Linked DNA regions of Lonchura striata. The protein of the gene in region 2 interacts with the protein of the main gene of each other region in a biochemical or structural test. Links are inferred from orthologs where the notes say so. Each region holds a gene or a part of one and is shown on either strand. Other genes may lie near its edges. The genes, in order: SREBF2 and HNF4A.

What was found.
Region 1: the proteins of HNF4A (region 2) and SREBF2 form a complex in vitro, tested with the Homo sapiens proteins (2 studies listed by BioGRID and IntAct). The link is inferred for Lonchura striata from reciprocal best matches to the Homo sapiens genes HNF4A and SREBF2.

What each region holds. Positions count from the first base shown.
Region 1 is NC_134607.1:58,257,805-58,267,409, forward strand, and holds the start of SREBF2 (sterol regulatory element-binding protein 2), read right to left. Parts: upstream 4,125-9,605; 5' UTR 4,035-4,124; coding exon 3,953-4,034; intron 3,894-3,952; exon of another isoform or gene 3,841-3,893; intron 1-3,840. Other genes in the region: CCDC134 (coiled-coil domain-containing protein 134), read right to left, coding at 5,735-5,860, 6,229-6,300, 6,512-6,693, 6,927-7,011, 7,190-7,311, 8,106-8,208.
Region 2 is NC_134619.1:9,002,279-9,011,568, reverse strand, and holds the start of HNF4A (hepatocyte nuclear factor 4-alpha), read right to left. Parts: upstream 4,358-9,290; 5' UTR 4,251-4,357; coding exon 4,136-4,250; intron 605-4,135; coding exon 427-604; intron 1-426. UniProt on the Homo sapiens protein: Transcriptional regulator which controls the expression of hepatic genes during the transition of endodermal cells to hepatic progenitor cells, facilitating the recruitment of RNA pol II to the promoters of target genes. Activates the transcription of CYP2C38.

The DNA.
Region 1 (9,605 bases), on a different chromosome or scaffold from region 2:
AAGCACAGACTAGACCTTAAAGCCATCTTCAATACATATCTAAAATATTAGAGTCTTGTTCCATCACTCCTTCAGTCTAACCCTTGCAAAAGGAAGAAACCAAGCACCTCAACAATTCCAGCACAAACCATTCTCCCACCTAACTTTTGGGAGCTTTCAACTCCCCTATCTTCTGTATTGCCCCATGGAGTATCTGGAAAAGAAAGAGACAGGGTAATAACTCATCTTCTCTTTCTTTTACTTACAAGCGTAACAAAAATAGGGGCAAAACCATGAAAGGAAACACCACTTTATAGAACTGTACCATGATCGATCCATGCATGTGTTTAAAACATCAGAACAACTTTTTCTTGGTTTGGTTGGTTTTCTGCCTGCAATCACTGGACAAGAGGTTTTCTCCATCCCACCTTCTCCAAGATTTTATGAACCCATATCAAGAAGCTCCTACTGCAACACTATAGGCCTTCCCCCTAGAGGTGAACATTTCACAACCAAGAGATCATTATTCATAAGCAGAGCTTCCTCTTCCCTCCATCTAATCCAATTTAATACCTTAAGACATATGAATGCTTTCCCTGATCTGTGTGCAGGCAGTGGCATGAGGAATCAGACATTCTTCCCCACCCCAGGACCTGCCCCTGAGGCACTGGCTCTTCCATGGTTTTCTGAAAGTCCTATATATTTTTTCTGGAAACAGGAAAAGAGGGGACCCACAAATCTAAGAGAGATTATGACAAAATAATAAATATGGGTTCAGGAAGCAAAAAATAGATTTCTGATTTATAGGAAAAAACACACCAAAGGGCTTCTTACACCAGGACCTTTCTCATTCACAAACCCCAAAGCATGTCACTGCTGTGATTTATGAAATAGATTTAAAGCAGTAAACTTTTGACAAGAAGTTTCCATGGATTATGCCCCAGCAATAAGAGGGCTATTAATTTACTCAGCTTTCTGAAATGCCACCCACACATTACCCAATTAATTTGTCTGACACTCCTTTGTCTGAAACAGAGCAAAGGGATGAATCCTCCTGCAAGCCTCTTGGTCCTTCAACACACATTCCAACACATTTCTGCGATACTTCTACTTTTCTCTTTGGATAGCAATCCTTCCACACCCTGACACACATTTAAGCACTGGCCATGACCACTGCTCTCAAGAACGAGAGTCTATTGGAGGGAGGAGCCTGGGAGATGAGCCCTCCTGACCTGTTCACAACCTGACACTAAGTGGGGATGCACAGCTCCCCCAAGATGAGGCAGCAGCCACCCTTGGAGACCAGCTGGACCAAACCCTTGTCTCAACTTTTCACTAGAGGAATGAAAGATTTCTTTTTTTAATGCATTGCCTTAACTGCTTTCACAAAACACTAGCAGAACAAAGAGGGCTGTTTCAAGATCAACATCTAGATAGATACTAAATAGCTCTTCACATTCCAACTGACTTCAGCTAAGACCATCCCGAATAACCCTCACCGTGATAAAACTAATAATCCAGACTACTTCCTGAACTCTGCATTTGATTGCTATTTAACTATCAGACAGCACAACTGCAAGTAGGGAATAAACATAAATCAGATAAGATTTGCTCTGGAAGAGTAAATTCCAGCATAAGAACAAAATTTCAACTGCTGTGCTTTAAAGAATTTTTTGTTCAATGCAGTAGATTTAACAGATTATTTAAAAAACTACTCCTGCTCTTGTAAGTTAAATCACTACTTATGACAGACTTAAATTTGACTGAATGCAAAAAGTCTAAAGCTTAATTTTTTCAGAATTAAGACTGCCAGGAAGTCTGGCAGTCTTAATTAAAATCCACCTCTTTTAAAGGGCTCAAGAGCTTTCCTAATAACAACGCACAAAAAATTAAAAGCAAGAGAAACAGCTGACACCCAAAATCTAAATCTCTGCTTTTTAAAACACCTTTGCCTACCTAGAAAGCAGAATATCCACACTGACTGTGAGAAACCTCAGGTGCTTCTGGAGCCATCAGTGTCACCAGAGCACCTGCACCCTCTGTGCCGAAGAGGTATCTAGGTCTCAGGCCCTGAAGCACAGTGACCTTACTGTAGAAAAATATCCAAGCCCAACCCAAGGCTAAAAAATGTCAACAAGGTATTACAAAATCAAAATTAAGCCCACCAAGGGCTTCTGCTGCTTTCATCAGCCCAGGGCCTGAATACCTAGCAGAAAGGCAAGGGCTGGGTTTCAGTTGCCTTTCCCAGGCAGTGGCTCCCACCTCAACAGAAACAACTTCTCTGTCCTGAACCTTGATGTGCTTCGACCTCCCACTGACTCAAACCTCGTACTCTGATGTTACCCAGCAGTGCCCTGCCAGCAAAAGATGCCCATGACTGGTGGAGGAGCTTATGCTGGGGCAAGAGGCAAAGCCTTTGGGCTCAGCACTCGGGCCCCCCGGCCACCCTTGTGCCCTGTCTTGAAGTATGAATCCAGTGAGCACTAACATCTCAGAGCACATCTGCCAAAAGAAGTCAAAATCCACACAACAGGCAGTGAGGAGCCCCCTCAGTCTGAACAGGAGAGGAACACCCACAAGACGACTTAAAAACCAAATGAAAATCCTTGCAAAATTTCAAACCCTGAGATGAATCCATGCTGATGCACAAAAAAAGCAGGATTGTCATGTATCTTCCCCCTGCCTTCCCTGAGAAAATCCACCCCTGGAGGTGGGGAGGAAAGTGAAGCTCGTTTTCCTAAGTTACTCATCACTCTGAATCACACCTCAGTTCAGAGCCATTGCTGGGTTCATAAATGCATCTCAGTTTCCGTATGGAACCTGAGAACTCATTATGTGGTGCTCAAGCAACAGCAAACACCTCCTTCAATGTGCACTATCAAACTTTATAAGCAATAACCAAACCCACTGCACCCGCATATGGCACATTCTTCTTTTACAACAAAAGAAAAAAAGGAATATAAATTTTGTCCCAAGCTATGTGACAAATCAGTGTCAAGAGAGACCTAAAAGTACTGATAAAATTTTATCTCCCAGCAGCTAAACAAGGATATTTTAGACAGCCCCAAAACTGAGCACTGTTTGGGATTACAGCCCAGCAGAGCAGTGAGCTAAGGCAGGAGCTCATCTCCACCAGGCTACAGCACAGACTACACCGAGAAATATCACTTTCAATGGGGTTTTCAGGGGCTACCTGGTGTCGCCAAAAATATACATAAAATAGGCGACACACGCAGGCACTTCATCTTGCTGCACTTCGGTGGAAAACAGGGGGTTTCTCACAGGTCTGGGCTGTGCCAGCGATGCAGTAAAGTTTTAGGATGACAGGGAAAACGGGAAATTTCAGCAGTTAGAGCTGTTCCGATGCAGGAGGGCTTGGAGGCTCGGCCTCCCACGGGCACCAGTGGAGGCACAGCTTCAGCCATCGTTTAGCACCCACTTTAAAAGACCCACGAGGGAACGCGAGGGGAACGTGGGCAGCCGCCGCTTGCCCCGTGGATGTGCGGCAGGAGCAGGGAGCACGGTCACCGCTTTCCCCGACCCCCACCGGTGCAAGGGTGGGCTCGGCAGCTCGGATCCCCACAGCCCCACCGCCCTCCTGCGGCTCCGGCCTCCACTCCAGGCGTGCGGCAGCCCCACGGAAACAGCTCAGAAGCGCTCCCGTGACAGGAGAGACACGCGTGTCCGCTCGCCAGGCGAGCGCTGCCCGGCGGGACGCGCTCCGCTCCCCCGCCCGTGCCCACCCGAGACGCGGGATGCCCGCTCCCCCCGCGCGCGTGGCAGCCCGCACCGCGTGGGAAGCGCCCCCACCCTGAACACTCCAGAGGCACGATCCAAGGACCACCCACCCCCGCCTCCTACCCCAGCAGCCGCGGGTCCGCGCGGGGAGACCGGAGCGCTCCCCCTGATATGCGTGGGAAGCCCACGCGCACCGTCCCCACCCAACCCCCCCGCTCCTTCCCGCGGCGCCTACCGTCGATGTCGCCCAGGGTGAGCTCGTCGCCCAGCTCAGTCAGGGTGTCCATGCTCTCGGCGGCCAGCTCGCCGCCCTCCATCGCGCAGGGCCCGCCGCGGCCCCGGGCGCTCAGGGGGAGGCTGCTGCCGCTGCCGGCGGGCGCCGCCGACCCCGCGCCATCTTGGGCCGGCCCGCGGCCCCGCCCCCGCGGCCCCGGCGCGCGCGCCCCCCGCGGTTTGTTGTCAATGAGACCAGGTCGCCCCCGGCCAATCGGCGGCCGCGGCGGCGCGTGGTGTGATGGCGCGTCAGCGATCAGCAGCTGCGATTAGCATAGCCCGCCCCGCCCCCTCCGCGCTGAATATTCATGAGGGGGCGGGCTGACGCCACCGCCCCCGCCGCCCACGGGAAACGCGCCCCGGGATGCCGCCGGGATGCGCGGGGAAAGGCCAGATGCAAGGCGGCGGTGGATAGAGCAGGGGGATGGTCCTGCCCTCCGCACCGCCCACGGACCCTCACCTCCGGAGAGGCCAGCCTCGACGCTTTCTGGCGTACACCCGCTCCCACCAGGAACGGGAGCAAGAGCCAGGATTCTTCTACTTAAAAAAAATAATAAAGTTAATTTTATTCAAGAAAAACCAACTGCGCCCATTGCCACCCCCTCTCCTCAATGGAGGGACTTGGCTCTGCTGTTAAAAAACCCGGGATGTTTCCCTTTCCTCAAAGGCTGTGATGCTGCCAGCCTGACACAGCAAACCAGCTCCTTGGGAAAGCAAGAGCCTGCTCTGGTGCGAGGCCATCAGCATAGGTGACAAATCACAGGGTGGCTGTGTCGGGTCGTGCTCTGTTCCCCATGGCAGCTGACACCTGGTGGAGGGTCGCAGCCACTCAAGTTGGCTCCCTCCCTATTTTGGCCATGCTATCACCACATGCCCTCATCTGGCTGCCCCCTGACAAGGGGCTTTGGGGGCTCATTTAGAGAGGATGAGCCCCAAAGAGAAGGGATGGCTGCAGGACAGGCTCTCAGTGGCTCAGGGCTGGCTCCCCAGCCTCTTCAGCATCAGCATTGCTTGCACTACAGCCACCCACTGGCTGCAAAGAGGCCAAGTACCAAAATTCCTCCAAACTGTCCAAAAATTCACCGGGCATTTGCCTCTCTGTGGGAATGACTTGCGGAGGCCCCAACATGCCATCAGCCAGGAACAGCTGCCATTGACATTTTCAACTACGTTGGACAATGAAACACATGTTGCTCGGTGAAACAGCCGCTGGGAAAAGGGAAGGTCTGATCTGGCAGAGGTAGCAGCTGTGCAGAGACCAGGTAGAACCCAGTGGGGGGTGCCAATGAGATCACTCGTTTAACGAAACAAAAAGCAAAACTGAGAGAAGCAGCATTGCTCATGAGGCTGTTTGGTGTGATGCACGCCCCAGCCCACCCGTGTTGGAGGAGGCATCTTCAGTGTGGGGTGTGCTGCAGTGAGGAGGGTTCCCTGGGCTCCACCAGAGATGTGTCCCCCACACCCTACTTCCCCACAGGCAGCAACACCCTGACCAGGGGATGGCTCCAGTGTTGTCCTGTCTGTGCTTTACCTCTGCAGAAGGGGTATCTCACTTTAGCCCCTTCGGGGCAACTAGCACCACCACGCAACCTTCACTGAACAGAAACAAAAGGCAACAAAACAAAACCCACAGCACAAATGGAAAGGGAATGGCCAGGCACCGGCCCAAAGCTGCCAAAAAGGGAGCAAGCCACTCTGTGTCTCAGTGGTGTCACCTCCACTGCAAGGCACAAGTCCCAGCATGCTACAGCTCCGACTGTGAGCGGGAGATGCGTGGGCCCTTGCGGATCTCCTTCCGCTTCTCTTCCTTCTTCCTCCTCTTCTCCTCATCCCGCAGCGCCTTCTGAAAGGTGTCAGCACTGGGGAAAAACTGTGGGTTGATAGCAAAGGGTCAGCACGGGGCAGTGCCCACAGCCTCCCAGAGGCACAGCCCCTCCAAACACACCAAAGCTAGTCCACAAGCCTCACAGTCCAGGGAGCTTTGAGCATGGATGCAGCACGAGGCAGACAGAGGCCAACCACGAGGCAGGTGGCTACAGAAGGGAGGAGAGGGCACCAGGTGCCCAAAGTAGAGCACAGATGGGGAATTCAGTGTTTGTGTTTCAGCCATGCTTATTCAGTGACAGGGTCTTTTGGCCATTTCCCACAGGCCTCCCATTCCATTCCCCAGCCAGCTGCCTGGAGCTGTAACACAGATGGGGAGGCCCACAAGACAAGTTGGCACGGTTGCCATCTTACCTCTGACTGGTCCGTTTTAAAGGGATTGCGGTAATCGGGCGATTTCTCACTGATTCCTAGCTCCTGAGCCATCTGCAAAGCAAAGGGGAAACCTCACTGGGGAGTGGTGCCTCCCACTTGCATCCTCTCTTCCACCAGTCCCATCTGTGCTCTTCCCCCATCCCTCAGCTCAAGGACAGCCCCCAGACATGTGGGGTCCCTGCCTTCCTTTTACCCCAAAACCCTCACCTCCCCCAGCCTAGCAGCAGAGAGGGGTCACGGCACGGGGGACGAAGAGCCATACCAGCCGCAGGACCTGGGAGTGGGGTCCCTGCTCGAACACACCCGTCAGGTTGCAGAAGCCGATGCCCCAGCGGATGAGGCTGTTCCAGTTGGAGTTGCGGTCGAAGTAATGGTGCACAATCTTGGGGAAGCGCAGGACGACGTCCCCGAAGAAGGCAGTGTTCTCCACCACGTGAGAATATGCTGTGGGGACAGCCACCAGCTCCATCAGCAGAGACTGAGGGCAAACCAATAGGCTCCCCAGCATGAAGTGGTCAGAGAGGCAGCAATACGGTCCCCAGCAGACAGGGACCAGCCCTGGTCTGGACTGGATACATAGGGGTTTTGTACCTACCCCATACTGATCCCAGGAAGAATGTCTGTGGTGCACCAGAGCACCAGAAAAAGGAGAGGGGTAAAAACTAGAGAGGACATACCATCCTTTATCTTCTCATCCTGAGGGAAGGGCCCATCAGGAGGCACATCAGCAGCTATGAGGACAGCACGGGAGTCCTCCAGCACCTGCCAAAGTCCTTGGTTACTGCTTTGTCCTGGAGGTGCTGCCACAGCTGCCCCACTTTGAAACCCCATGGAATCCTTCCTTCAGGTCCAAAAGCTCACCTGCCACACACTCCACAGAAGCCCCCAACCCTTCCCATTTCTGCCCACCCATGTGGGCTCAGAGTGCACTGTGGCTTACTTTGAAGAGTCCCTTGAGCATGATGTCAATGATTTTGTACTGCTGGTTGACGTCATTGAGCTCAATCAAGTTCTTCAGAGCATTCATCTGGTCCTTGCGCTTCACCTCAAACAGCTTCTTATCTGCACTGCTGTCAAGGGCACTGTTGACACTCTCCCACCACACTGTTGCTCTCCCCCTCCTCCCCAGGGCCCCTGGCACCATCCCAGGCCCCCCAGTTCTCCATGAGGTGTCTGAGGGGCAGAACCTGAGCCAGGATAAAACACAGATTTCCAGTGAACCCCTTGCCCAAACACCCCAGCAGGGCCTTTAACAATGCTGAGACCTTGTGGGGAGCTTTCTACTTGCCAGTCTCTGCTCTGGCTGATGGGCTGGAGGAGGAACATCAACTGGCACCTTCCCCATGTGTCTCCACATATTCATTTTTTCATACTTTGCCTGTTTACCAGGAGATGTGTGCTAAGAAGGGCTTGCATTAGCTCACCTCCTCACAGGCAAAAAGTGCCTGTAGCACAGAGGAGACTAAAATGCCACAAGCAGAAGAATCCCCTTCCACCATCCCAGTTGGTGACCCCAGAGCACTGAGATGTGCAGGTGTGTTCTGCCTTCTGGCTGACCATGCCACTTCCAAGAGCAGACTGGAAATGTGCACAACGGAGCAGAAAGAACACCAGGCATCACTGCCATTTCTATTCCTGCACCAAGCCAGGCACTTGGTTAGCAAGCCCAGGAGCTTGGCTAAAGCCCAACTATAGAAGGACAAAGCAGCAACTTCCCAGTGCTTCTGGATCCTCTCTTTTCTACTTCCTTGTGCCCCTTTCCATGGTCTCTGACCTCTTCCTTGTGCATGTGCTCCCTCCAGCCTTTGTAGCCACTAGTGCGTATGTGGTAATGGGTGGCAGGCTGCAGAGGATACAGATTTCCAAGCCAGAGTCTACTCTCTGTTTCTCCAGGTCTGTGAAGCTGCCCTGGGACAGCAGCAAGGCCAGTAGAAAGGGGCAGATGATGAGAAAATCCATGTTGGCCTTTGCAGCCTGGAAGAAAACAGACCAACAAAACCAATGATCAGTGAGGAGACTTATCAAAATGAGAAGTCACAAAGCCACCTGGAACTGATGGCACACTGCTCTTGGCACCAGGGTCCTTGCCCACCTCTCCCTTGTCCCCATGAGGGATCTAGTGGCCAGAGCAGAGACACATGGTGATGCTGCAGCCAGCTTGCTCTCCCCTGCAAGTGAAGCCCTGGTCTCCCTCTTCTCTCTGCCTGTCTGCACTGCCAGCCCCAGGCATCTGACCCAGCACTGACCCAATAGAAAATTTAAGACCTACCCCTTTTTCCAAAAATAACAGCTAGGTTTTTGCTGGGTTTGTGAGGCAGAGCAGCCCAACAACCACAACAGAAGGTCTGGAAGGAAGAGAAGGATCACTGAGGGATTGAAGTCTATCTCTCCTTCAAGTCCCAACACAACCAGTTCAGTGACCTCCACTCAGCACTTGGGGTATTGGTACCTGGACTCTTTCCTTAACTACAAGTTGGGTGCCACCTGCAGGTCCCACACCAAGAAACAGTTGGGTGACCTGGTGGTAACTTCCCCCCACTTCCAAACAAGTCCTTTCCCAGGCAGCATCTGAGGCTTTGCAGGGATGCTCTTGGGCAGAACTGCTCCTGACCACAAAGGTCCCTCAGACAAAGTCAATGGCTGGAGGAAAAGGTCCTTGAAAATTAGGATCCTCTTGGACAGTCTATACCTGGAAAAGGAGAGCAACAGCTCAGTCCCCAGGCAGCAGAACTCAGGGTGGTCTGTCCTCAGGCAGAAGGTTTTCATGGAGGTGAGCACAGGCCACTGGCAATTACAAAAGCAACAGCTCCTTCAGAGGCATCTGACCCACCTCCTGCCCCCAAAGGACAAGCAGATGTGTAAGGCCACCAGAGCCGACCTCACCCTATGACCCACTGAGTCCAAGTTTGCCTGCCCAAACCTGTCTCTGTAATGCCCTAACACTGAAACAAAAACAAATCCCTTCTTGTTCTTTTCTTGTTGCTTTTCTTTTTTTAAACAAATACAATTTCAACTCCAAGCCCATGAAAGAGGTAAAGCAGGCACCAGCAGTTCTCCCAGCCCTGCAAGGATCAGCAGCAGCTCCCACCATGTACCTCCTGCCGAGGTCAAGCCAAGCATCTTCACACCCCTGGCAAAGGCAGGAGAACAGTGTCAGACAAACATGAGAAACCCTATGAAATACTTTGCTGTTGTGCTTTGGAACAGACCAGAGTAAATACAACCAGCATTATTGATGAAGACATGGCTGCCCCTGGTGTAGGCTCAGCAATGTGCCCCATGTTTCTGTTCTGACACAGTGCAGAGCCAGGACAGCAGCAGAAATCCCCATGCCAAGTTTGGGGTCTGTCCCCTTT
Region 2 (9,290 bases):
GTAGCTGGATGGCAGGCACACATCCATCTGGTGGTGGAGAAGGATTGCCCCCAGGGAGAGCAAGGTTTGTGCTGCACTGAGTAGTGAGGTGCTAAGTCCCTGAAATGGGGTTTCTCCCCTGGCATTTTGCTGCTTGCTGGCCACACCCATGGTTGGCCATACCCATTTGCAAGAACATGTGCTTGGCCCCTAAAGGATGGGGCAAACCTCCCAGGGTCTTTCCCCAGGGATCCGTGGAGGGCAGTCCCAAAGTCAGGGCAATCACTGACCCCTCCCAGCTGAGGGCTTAGCTCAGGGAAAGTGGAGGAGGTTGCGGGGAGGATGAAGAGGATGAAGGGCCGTGCTGCTGCACTTCGAGGGCTTTGCCATTGAGCTGTGAGGGGCTGTCCTGTCTGAGCCATGGGTCTCTGTGCCCTCTGTCCTCACCTGCAGGAGTACATGTGGTTCTTCCTGACGCTCCTCCTGAAGAAGCCTTTGCAGCCATCGCAGCTGGAGGCCCCGTAGTGCTTGCCGGTGGCGCGGTCCCCGCAGATGGCACACAGCGTGCTCACCCCAATGCTGCTGGAGCTGCTGAGGTTGGCTGCTTCTGACGGAGACGTGTCTGCTTGGGGAAGGACACAGCAAGAAGATGACAGTGACACAGCCAGCCAACATCTGCTAACTCAGCTACCAGTCAGATTTTCTTGGAGAAACCAGGCAGCTGCAGCCTGGCTCTGTGGCAGGGGCCGGCCAGAGAGAGTGTGTAAGCTCTCAGTGTTTAAATAATTGCATTTTGAGGTGCACTAAAACTCCCTGTATTCCATAGTGAGACCCCTCTTCCAAAGGCCTGGCTGAAGCAGTGCCTTCAGATAAAGTGGAAGCCCGTTTGCAGGAGTCACAAGGCAGAGCCAAAATTCCTTGGGGATTTGCAGACACTTTGGGCTGCAGTAGTGTGGCCAGAGAAAAAGCTGATGCAGAGTTAAGTGGAGGTATTACAGCTCGGGGTGAGCAGCTGATTTGTTAGGGAGGTGTTTGTGTTGTTACATTGAAAGAGCCCAAGACAGCCCTGAGCAGATGAGGTGAACAGTTCCCTTGTCCAGGCATGGAGCCCCAGCCTGCACAGCCCCTTTGGGAAAACAAGACTTTAGATAAATAGCAAACTCAAATGACTTCAGCTGGAAAACTCACGTGGGCAAAGGCTACCCATGCAAGGAAGGGCTGATTAAAGAAAAAAGGTGGCACTCTGGCATGGAGAAGGCTGTAGGCTGGGTATCTTCCAGAGTCTGGTAAGATCACAGTGGAAATTGATTTGTCTTGCAGTCCTTGCAGACCAAGGGGGACTGGGGCTTGCAGGGCTTTTTTTGGAGGGTAGGGAATTGCAGCAGTCTCTGGAGGAAAGGACATCTGAAAGGCTAAAAACCATACAAGGGCTACACTAAACCCCTCTAGCAAGCCAAACAAACCTCAAGGCTGAAGGGATCAGCCCTTAATTCAGTTGATCTAATTGTCCCCTCCCATGTAAGTTTTTCTGTGTCAGCACAGGCACATCCCCCTCCCTCAGTGGAAAAGCCAGTCACAAATCATACACAGGATCTACAAAGCTATAGAAACCTGCTGGTATTTTTAATGCTTGAGTCGATTGGCTCCTGATTTCTGGGTTTTTGTAGGGACTCAGTTAAGGCTCACCCTGGAAGGGCCACAGCTGTTCCCACCTGGCACCCAGCAGAAGGGCTGGTCCCAGCTGGGCTCCCCATGGTAGCCCAGCTGTGGTGCTGGCGGGGCCAAGGCAAGTCTGGCTGGGGGAGGACTGCATTTTTAGTTTCCATTTTACAGAGAAAAGGGAATTTCAGCAGGTGCAGCACATCCTCCTCATGCCATCCCTCAGCAGGAGTAACTGGCACAGAACCAGCAGTGAACCAGCACAGGGATTTTTGAGTCTTCCCTACCTCTGGCAGGGCCTTTCATTTCCCTGCCTGCTTTCTGTCTTTCCAATTCCTGTGTCCCTCCTGTATTTCACTGTGAGTCACTTAGCTGCCTCTCTGTGTCCCTGCCTGGCACACCCTGTCACGCAGCTCCAGCAGCACCAGTGCAAAGCTCCTGTCTCCACTCCCAGAGCTCTGAGCTTTCCCAAGGCTATCCTGGCTGTCTTTTGCTCCTGTGAGCAGCTTGAAAAGAACCTTTCTCCATGAATATCCCGAGGGCTCAGCTAAATGCAGCTCACTCCAGAAGGAAAGTCAAATTCTCAGTTCCAGCTAAACATAGGACTTAGATGTGAGAGGAAGAGCTGATCTGCCTGTAATCCCATTACTTGTATATCTGTGGCAGCCCAGATAAATCCCTTTTTAGCAATCTATCAGGCTGTAATCAGATGAACATAGAGCAGGAAAAACTGGCACTCTTATCAAAGAAATTGCAACATCTCAGTCTAATAGTCAACAACAATGAAATTATTGCCTAATGGATAATTTTCCAATTGAGTTTATTCTGCCAAATATGTGCCAAAAATGTGGGCTATGGCTGGCTGCAATCAAGTGGTTGGAGTTAAGGTAAATGGCAGAAAGAAAAAATCTGTCTTTGAGAACTTGCAGCTGATCCTTGTGTTAGGACAGGAGCTGCTCAGAAGGTCCCTGAGCCTGTCTGAGCACAGGATGCATTTTTCTGTGAGAGGCAAACGTGGTCCCTGCTGAGCAGCAGCCCTGGGGCTGAGCTGGAGAGCTGTGGCAGGCAGTGGCTGGGCTCTGGGCAGTGCTTTTCCAGCAAAAGAGGCACAGGTTCTGCAGGTGGAGGTCCTGCAGGAGGTGTGTCCTCAGAGCAGCTGCTGCAGTGCCAAAACAGCCCTGGAAGCAAGGGCTGTCCCTGGCCTGGAGCTGGGCCCAGGAGGAGAGGAGCTGGTGCTGCCTGCCCCAGCTGACTCACCCAGTGTTACAGCACACTGGATCTTGTCACAGGAAATTATCCTGTCCCTCTGCTCCGTGCAGCCCTGTGTCCAGGGCAAATACAGCTCCTTGTGCAGATGCTTGCTGGATGAGAGTGGGGCACGGAGAGGGAGCAGGGCCTGAGCTTGTCCCAGAGTGTGCAGATGGATATCAACAGAGCCAAAGGGGGTGACTTCTATCCCTAAGGCACCTGAAGGGGTAGGACCAGCCTGCAGGAGTGGAGAAGGGGCTGGGACCCAGAGTGGTGGGGGGTTATTGCACAGCAGAGCCACTTTGCCACCGCTGTGTTACATCCCTGACAGAACAGAGCCATAACCCAGGGAGGACCCACACAGGCTGTGATGGAAGAGTCCACAGAGCCAGCACAGCCCTTCTGGGACAGAGGTGTCCAGCAGTCTGGAAGAAAAAGGGCTTGGAGGGCTGGAAGGAAAGGGCTCAGAGGGCCACTTTCTGTGGCTTCATTTAGTCATTAACCTCATATTTAGAGAGACTTCAGGGGGGACTTGGAGAGGAATCTCTTGTTATCTCTGAACAGTTGATCACCAAGACTCTTTGGTCCCCAGATGGGTGGGATTTCTGGAATTCTGTGAATTCTGGAGGATTAAGTGTGATGCTACCCTCCAGAAGGGATGGGAACATTTATCTATCCTCTCAAGGTCCCCTTGTCCCTCTTACTGGGGGCTGAGGCAGGAAAGGACATGCCACCCCACACTCCAGTGCTGCACTGGGGAAGGGCTGTGGCTCACAGCAGCTGCAGCGGCAGTGCCTAAATCACTTCTGACAGTGATTTCCACCCTTACCAGGTGCTAAATGCCTTTCTGCTCTAGGAGCTGACTCTGAGCTCTGGAGACACAGGGTCAGCTGTCTGTCTGGTGAACCATCAACAGCACTTCATGCAGAAACTTTTGGCTGGGGTCTGGGAGACCCCCACCTTGTTTAGTCCCAGCCCCATTGCCTGGGTTGAATGTCTGGAGGGGACCTCTCATTCAGCCAGCTCCTGGAGCGGGCCTGCTGGGCTGCAGGACACCACCCTGCCTGTACCAAACACAGCTCTGCTCTCTCCCCTCTATTTTCCCCTGGGGAAACAGAACCCTCCCTGGGAGCTCCCCATCTTACAGCCCTTCCTTCCCCGGGAACATTTCTGTGGCCACCCCAGGGGCTTCTCCTGCAGCCCCCAGCTCATCCCACCCAGCAGAGGGGAGAAGGTGGAGGAGACTCACCATTGCCCATCGCCAGCACCTGCATGTTCTCAAACTCCAGGGTGGTGTATGCCGGGTCTAGCGCTGCGCTGTAATCTGCCATCTCCATGTCTATGAGGGCTTTGGAAAGGCGCATTATCCTCAGCAAACACGGGCCAGATTGTACCGATTCCCTTGTCCCAGGCTATTGGCCCTCCTGCCTCCCTCTGCCTTCACTGCGTCCCCTACCTGTTGTCTTTTAATTCAGATATTTCTCTGAAAGGATTTGCTGAGCCTCAAGGCCTATACTCCCAGAGGGGTGGAGGCAGGAGGCAGGGGGTTAATCTTTAATCATCTCACCCATTGCTGAATACTGCTAAGCTTTTTTTTTTTTTTTTTTTTTTTTTTTTTTTGGTGGAGCAGCAGTGATTCTTGTTGATTGTTTATTATTGAATCTCAAGGCGTTTCTGATCCTGGCTCCTGGGTGCAGGCAGCACCACAGGAGCAGGCACTCACCAAGATCTATTGACCTTGATGCTAAGCTGCTGGTGTTGCTCTTAATTATACCTGGGGTGGAAAACTTGGAAAAAACCCTACCAAGAGTACAAGGTTCTTCGCCACTTCTGTCATTGCCTTCCTCTCCTCAGCACTGATTGCCTACACCTCTGTTTTTCCCTTCTCTTGCTCCCTCCATCCCTTCCACTCCCTCTTTTCTCTCCCTCATGGTCAGAGAAGGTCAGCTCCTGCCTGGAAATTTACACGTTGCTATGTAAAGTGAAATATATGACTCCTTTTACCTCCCTATAAACCAACTTTTACAGGAGGCTGGATGCCCTATAAACAGATCCCATTCTGCAGCCATACCCAAACAGCGAGGGGGGCTGAGGGGTGGCACAGACACCCTGGGAATGGCCAGGGTGGCTCCTGTCCCACAGCTGAAATCACTGTGTGCTGACACCCCCAGCCTTGGGTACTGGCTGATCTGCTATAAAAGTTTCATGAGACAGGTTCCAACAGAGCAGCAGGAGCTTTCCTTCTGCGGGTGCACTGTCTGCTTACAGCACCAGACCTGGGCTCTGACCCCACTGGTGCTGGGCAGAGCTGTCTGTGCTCTCCTCCCCAGCTGCCCCGTGGGACATCACTCCTCCACTTCAGCCAGAACTGAGACTTTTCAGTCTTAATTGAGACTCAGATCTCAATTTTGAGATCATTGAGCGGGAATTTAATTGATTTCTGAATAGCACTGGCTCATGCAAGAGAATCAGCAATTAATGATTTGGTATCAGTTTGTTCTGCATTGAAAACAGCCCCGTGGTTTCGCAACCAGCAGCGACTGAGTCCACACGCTGCTGATCTGGGCTCCCAGTGCCTTGTGTTTGTTCTTCCCAGGCACCCCAATGCAGCCCCAACCCCACTGGCACCATAAGCTGCCCTGGATATAGTGCCATCACTGCCACAGCATGAATCCAAGGTCTCTGGCTCCACACCAGTACATGCCTTTGGGCAGTTGTGCTAGATTTTCTATTCACATTTTAGGAGCACACGGAATTGTTCAAGCAGCCCTTTGCCCCCCAAAGCCATGACCTACATATCACTTCTGAACAGCTCTTCTACCCTGAGGCTGCAGTTCTGCCAGAGTGAATCTGAGCACAGGGGAGAGCCCCTGCTTTCTCACTTGGGAATGGTGATAAATGATCCTTTGCTGCAGGGGAAACAGTGATTCTGTCAGTGCTCCTGAGGGACAGGCCAGAGCTCATGTGCTGGTGGCTCTTCCTTTAGGCAGATACAGTCCTTGCCAAAAATTGGTTTTATGATGTGCAGACTGGGATGGAGATGCAAGAATAGAGCATAGCCTTTTCCATAGCCTTATCCCAGGGACCTCAGCCCCAGTCCTGGCCAGGCCAGGGTGATCCCTTTGATTAGATAAATGCTACAGACACCAGGTCAAATATGTGCAAGATTTGCCACAGCGTCTAGTAAAATATCGTAAAAGCAAGGCCCGTTCTGCTCTGCTCAGCAAAACAAACCTTTTGCATCAATAGCCTGCTGAGCAAGGGGGCTGCAAAGGCCATTTACTTCCCAGGCAGGAAGGATTAGAAGGGCCAGGAATAGAAATCAGAGAGGCAGCATGTGCAGGAGAGAGGCAGATAAGGAGCAGGGAAGTTTGGAGAGCATTAGGTGGCTCACGAGGCTGGGGCTGTCAATGGGACACAGTGTTTTCCACCCAGGACTGTGTTGACTGCTGTTTTTCACCACCAGTGTCCTCTGTGGGTCACCAGTTGCCCCTCCCAAATCCTTCATGTTGGTGTGGAGGTCGAGGGCCAGACCAGCCAAGGACACCACACACCTCCTTTGCCCTGGAGATGAGCTCTGATGGAAGCACTGGCTGCTCCCTGGGCACTGTTGCTGCAGGTGAAGTCTCCCCTTGTGTCTTTTGCCTGGGAAGTTCATGGTTGTCTCCCCCGGCATCCTCATGTGGTGACTTTTGGGACAGCTTGCTTGCACTGGCTTGTACTGACCAACAGGACCCCACAGGTCTGTAGCTGTTTTAGGTGGGAGATGTTCAAGTCAGCAGCTGCTTGTGGAGCTGTTTCAAACACTTCTGGCTACAGAAGGCGTCTTGCCTTTCTTATCCACACAGAGAGACAACTCATAGCTGGAAAACCCCCACTGATAAGTGAAGGCTGTTCCCAAACTAGGTGCTCCAGAGAAGTTAATCTTTCAGATCTGCTCCTCTCTCCTGTCCTGGTTCTCTGTACACTCCACCCACTGTTTCCGATGTCAAGTCATGGTTGCAAAGGAAACCATGACAGCTATGGGGTTTGACCTGTTCTATGTCAAGTGATTATTTCATTTTTATCTGTTGAGCAGTAAATCCTTTCCCACACTGGCACATCATGGCACTAATTCTGCCTTATCTATATATCCCCCATCTGGAAAATTTATGCAAACCTAAAGGGGATTCCCTGAAAATTAGATCTGTGCTTCTCAATAGGTGAGGACCAGGGACAGAGTATTTAATAGGGCATTTTTGGAAAGGATGCTGTCACCTACTGTGCTTGCCAACTCTGCATGTCCAGCAGGTGAGCTGGCTCCTCTCAAGGGGCTCCTCCCTGGTGATTCTTGAACAGGGTGTTGTAGGATCAGAGGATAATTGATGCCAGAAGGAACCTCAGAGTCTCTGCCCCAGGCTCCTGCTGGAAGCAGGGCCAACCGTGAGAGCAGCATGGGCTCCCTGCAGCTTTATCTAGCTGGGTCTTGAACACCTCCAAGGATGGAGAGCAGCCTCGGCAGCCAGCTGGTGCTTGACTGTGCTCATGGTTAGACACTGGCTGAACCTCTCTCCAGTTTTTATGCCCCTTGTTCTCCAGCCATGCACCCTGGGACGAGCCTGGGCCCATCTTTTCAAGTGCTCCTGTGTGTGTTATGCTCCTGCAGTTCCTGCTGGCCCATCTCTCCCCGCTGCTGCAGGATGCAGCCCTGCCTGCCAGTGGATCGACCAGGCACCCAGTCTGGGCTTGCCTGCAGACTTCCTGAGCATGGACCATCACCAGGGGCCCTCCTGCTCGTTGCTTTTCTCTCTCACAGCTCTGCACTCTTATAAAGTGCCCGGCAGAAAAGCCAGAGCCCAGGGCCAGCAGGACTCCCCTCAGCTGTCATCGGCAATGCCATCGCTGGCCTGGCAGCCCTGACTCCAGAGCTCTGCTCCCCGTCACTCCCAGCTCCAAGGCCACTGTAGAGCTGGAATATTTCACATGGCCTTTTTTTCCCGCACATGCACACAAAGCAGAGATGGGCTCAGGTGTGGAACCTCAGCAGAGCAGCCAAGCCCTGAGCACGGTCAGGGCCCTGCTCGGCCCGTCGCCATTTCACGAGCGAGCTGTGGGGAAGCAGGAAGCCCAGGTACAAGACAAAGAACAAAAGTCCCAGGGGAACGTCACCAGCGTAGTCATCTCCACACATGCAAAGGTCCCTTCTGCCTTTTTTTTTTTTCCCCTTTGAAATTTCAAATTCCAGTTTGTGGACAAAGTCCTGCCTATCTGAGAATATAGATCTCCGACCACTGACCAAACTCCACTTCAAGCAGTCCCGAGGACTGCTCTTCCCCCTGCCCACGGACGTGTCTGCTCAGTCCTTGGATCTCCCAGGATCATGCTGAAAATTTTGCACTGGAGCACAGCACTGGTACTTTCACAAAGCGGATTTTGTACTTAATGTCAGCAGCTTCTTTCTGGGAAGAACCTCGGGAATAACCAGGTAGGAGCCTTATCACCTACAATTCATTTGGCCAGCCATTGAAGAGAGAAAAGGAGAAGGAGAAACAAGGGCTTCCATTGTGCTTGTACCAGCAATTTTAGTTCATCATTTAAGTAAGGGAAGGGGAAAAAAAAGCAGCTTCAGAGGGGATGATAAACTAGAGGGAACATGAGCTTGTGGAGGCAGAGCCACTCTGTATAGTTAACTGATAACTCCAATTTGCTCTTCCCTCTCATCTTTTCTGATTCTCTCAATTAAGCTCAACTTATTCTCATGCTAATCATTTCTTGACCTGTTTATTCTGCATTAAAAAATTAACAGAGAGCAGTTTACTGCATGACTTGCTCACACAGAACTGCTACAGATTAGCAGGCATGCTTTAAGCCCCTACACTGATTCTTTTGGGTCTCGCAGCCAGTCTGCACAGCTCGAGGATGAGCTTTTTTTCCTGTTTTTAAAGAACAGCTTTTTCTAAAGTCAATATAAACCCCCCTCCTTTCATGCCTTGAGTATATTTGCTCGGTGACTATTTCCAAATGGGAAAGATAAAGCCAAGGGCTTGTGTTTTGTCAGACTTTTTGTAAACAGAGGTATTTAGGCCATACTGTCAAACCCTCCTGCCTTCTACCTTGGCGTGCTGTGACTCCAGAGCAGAATTGTCAGTGTGTTAATAAGCAGCTCCAAGGAATTTTTTGGGGCTGTAATGTTGCAGGTCAGTGCAGCTGCCCAAGCCCCCAGCTCATGGGGTAGATCTTTGCCTCTGCTCGCGGCAATCATATGACAGACACACAGATGGGAATCTGCTCCCATGTCCCTCCCCAGAACATCCCCAGAAGCTGTGAGAAGCCTCCAGGGAAATAGATGATTCAGCAGAGGTTGTTTAGGGTCCGTTTGCCCCTTGCCAGCTGCACACTGCGCATCCCTGCCTGAGCAAAACACT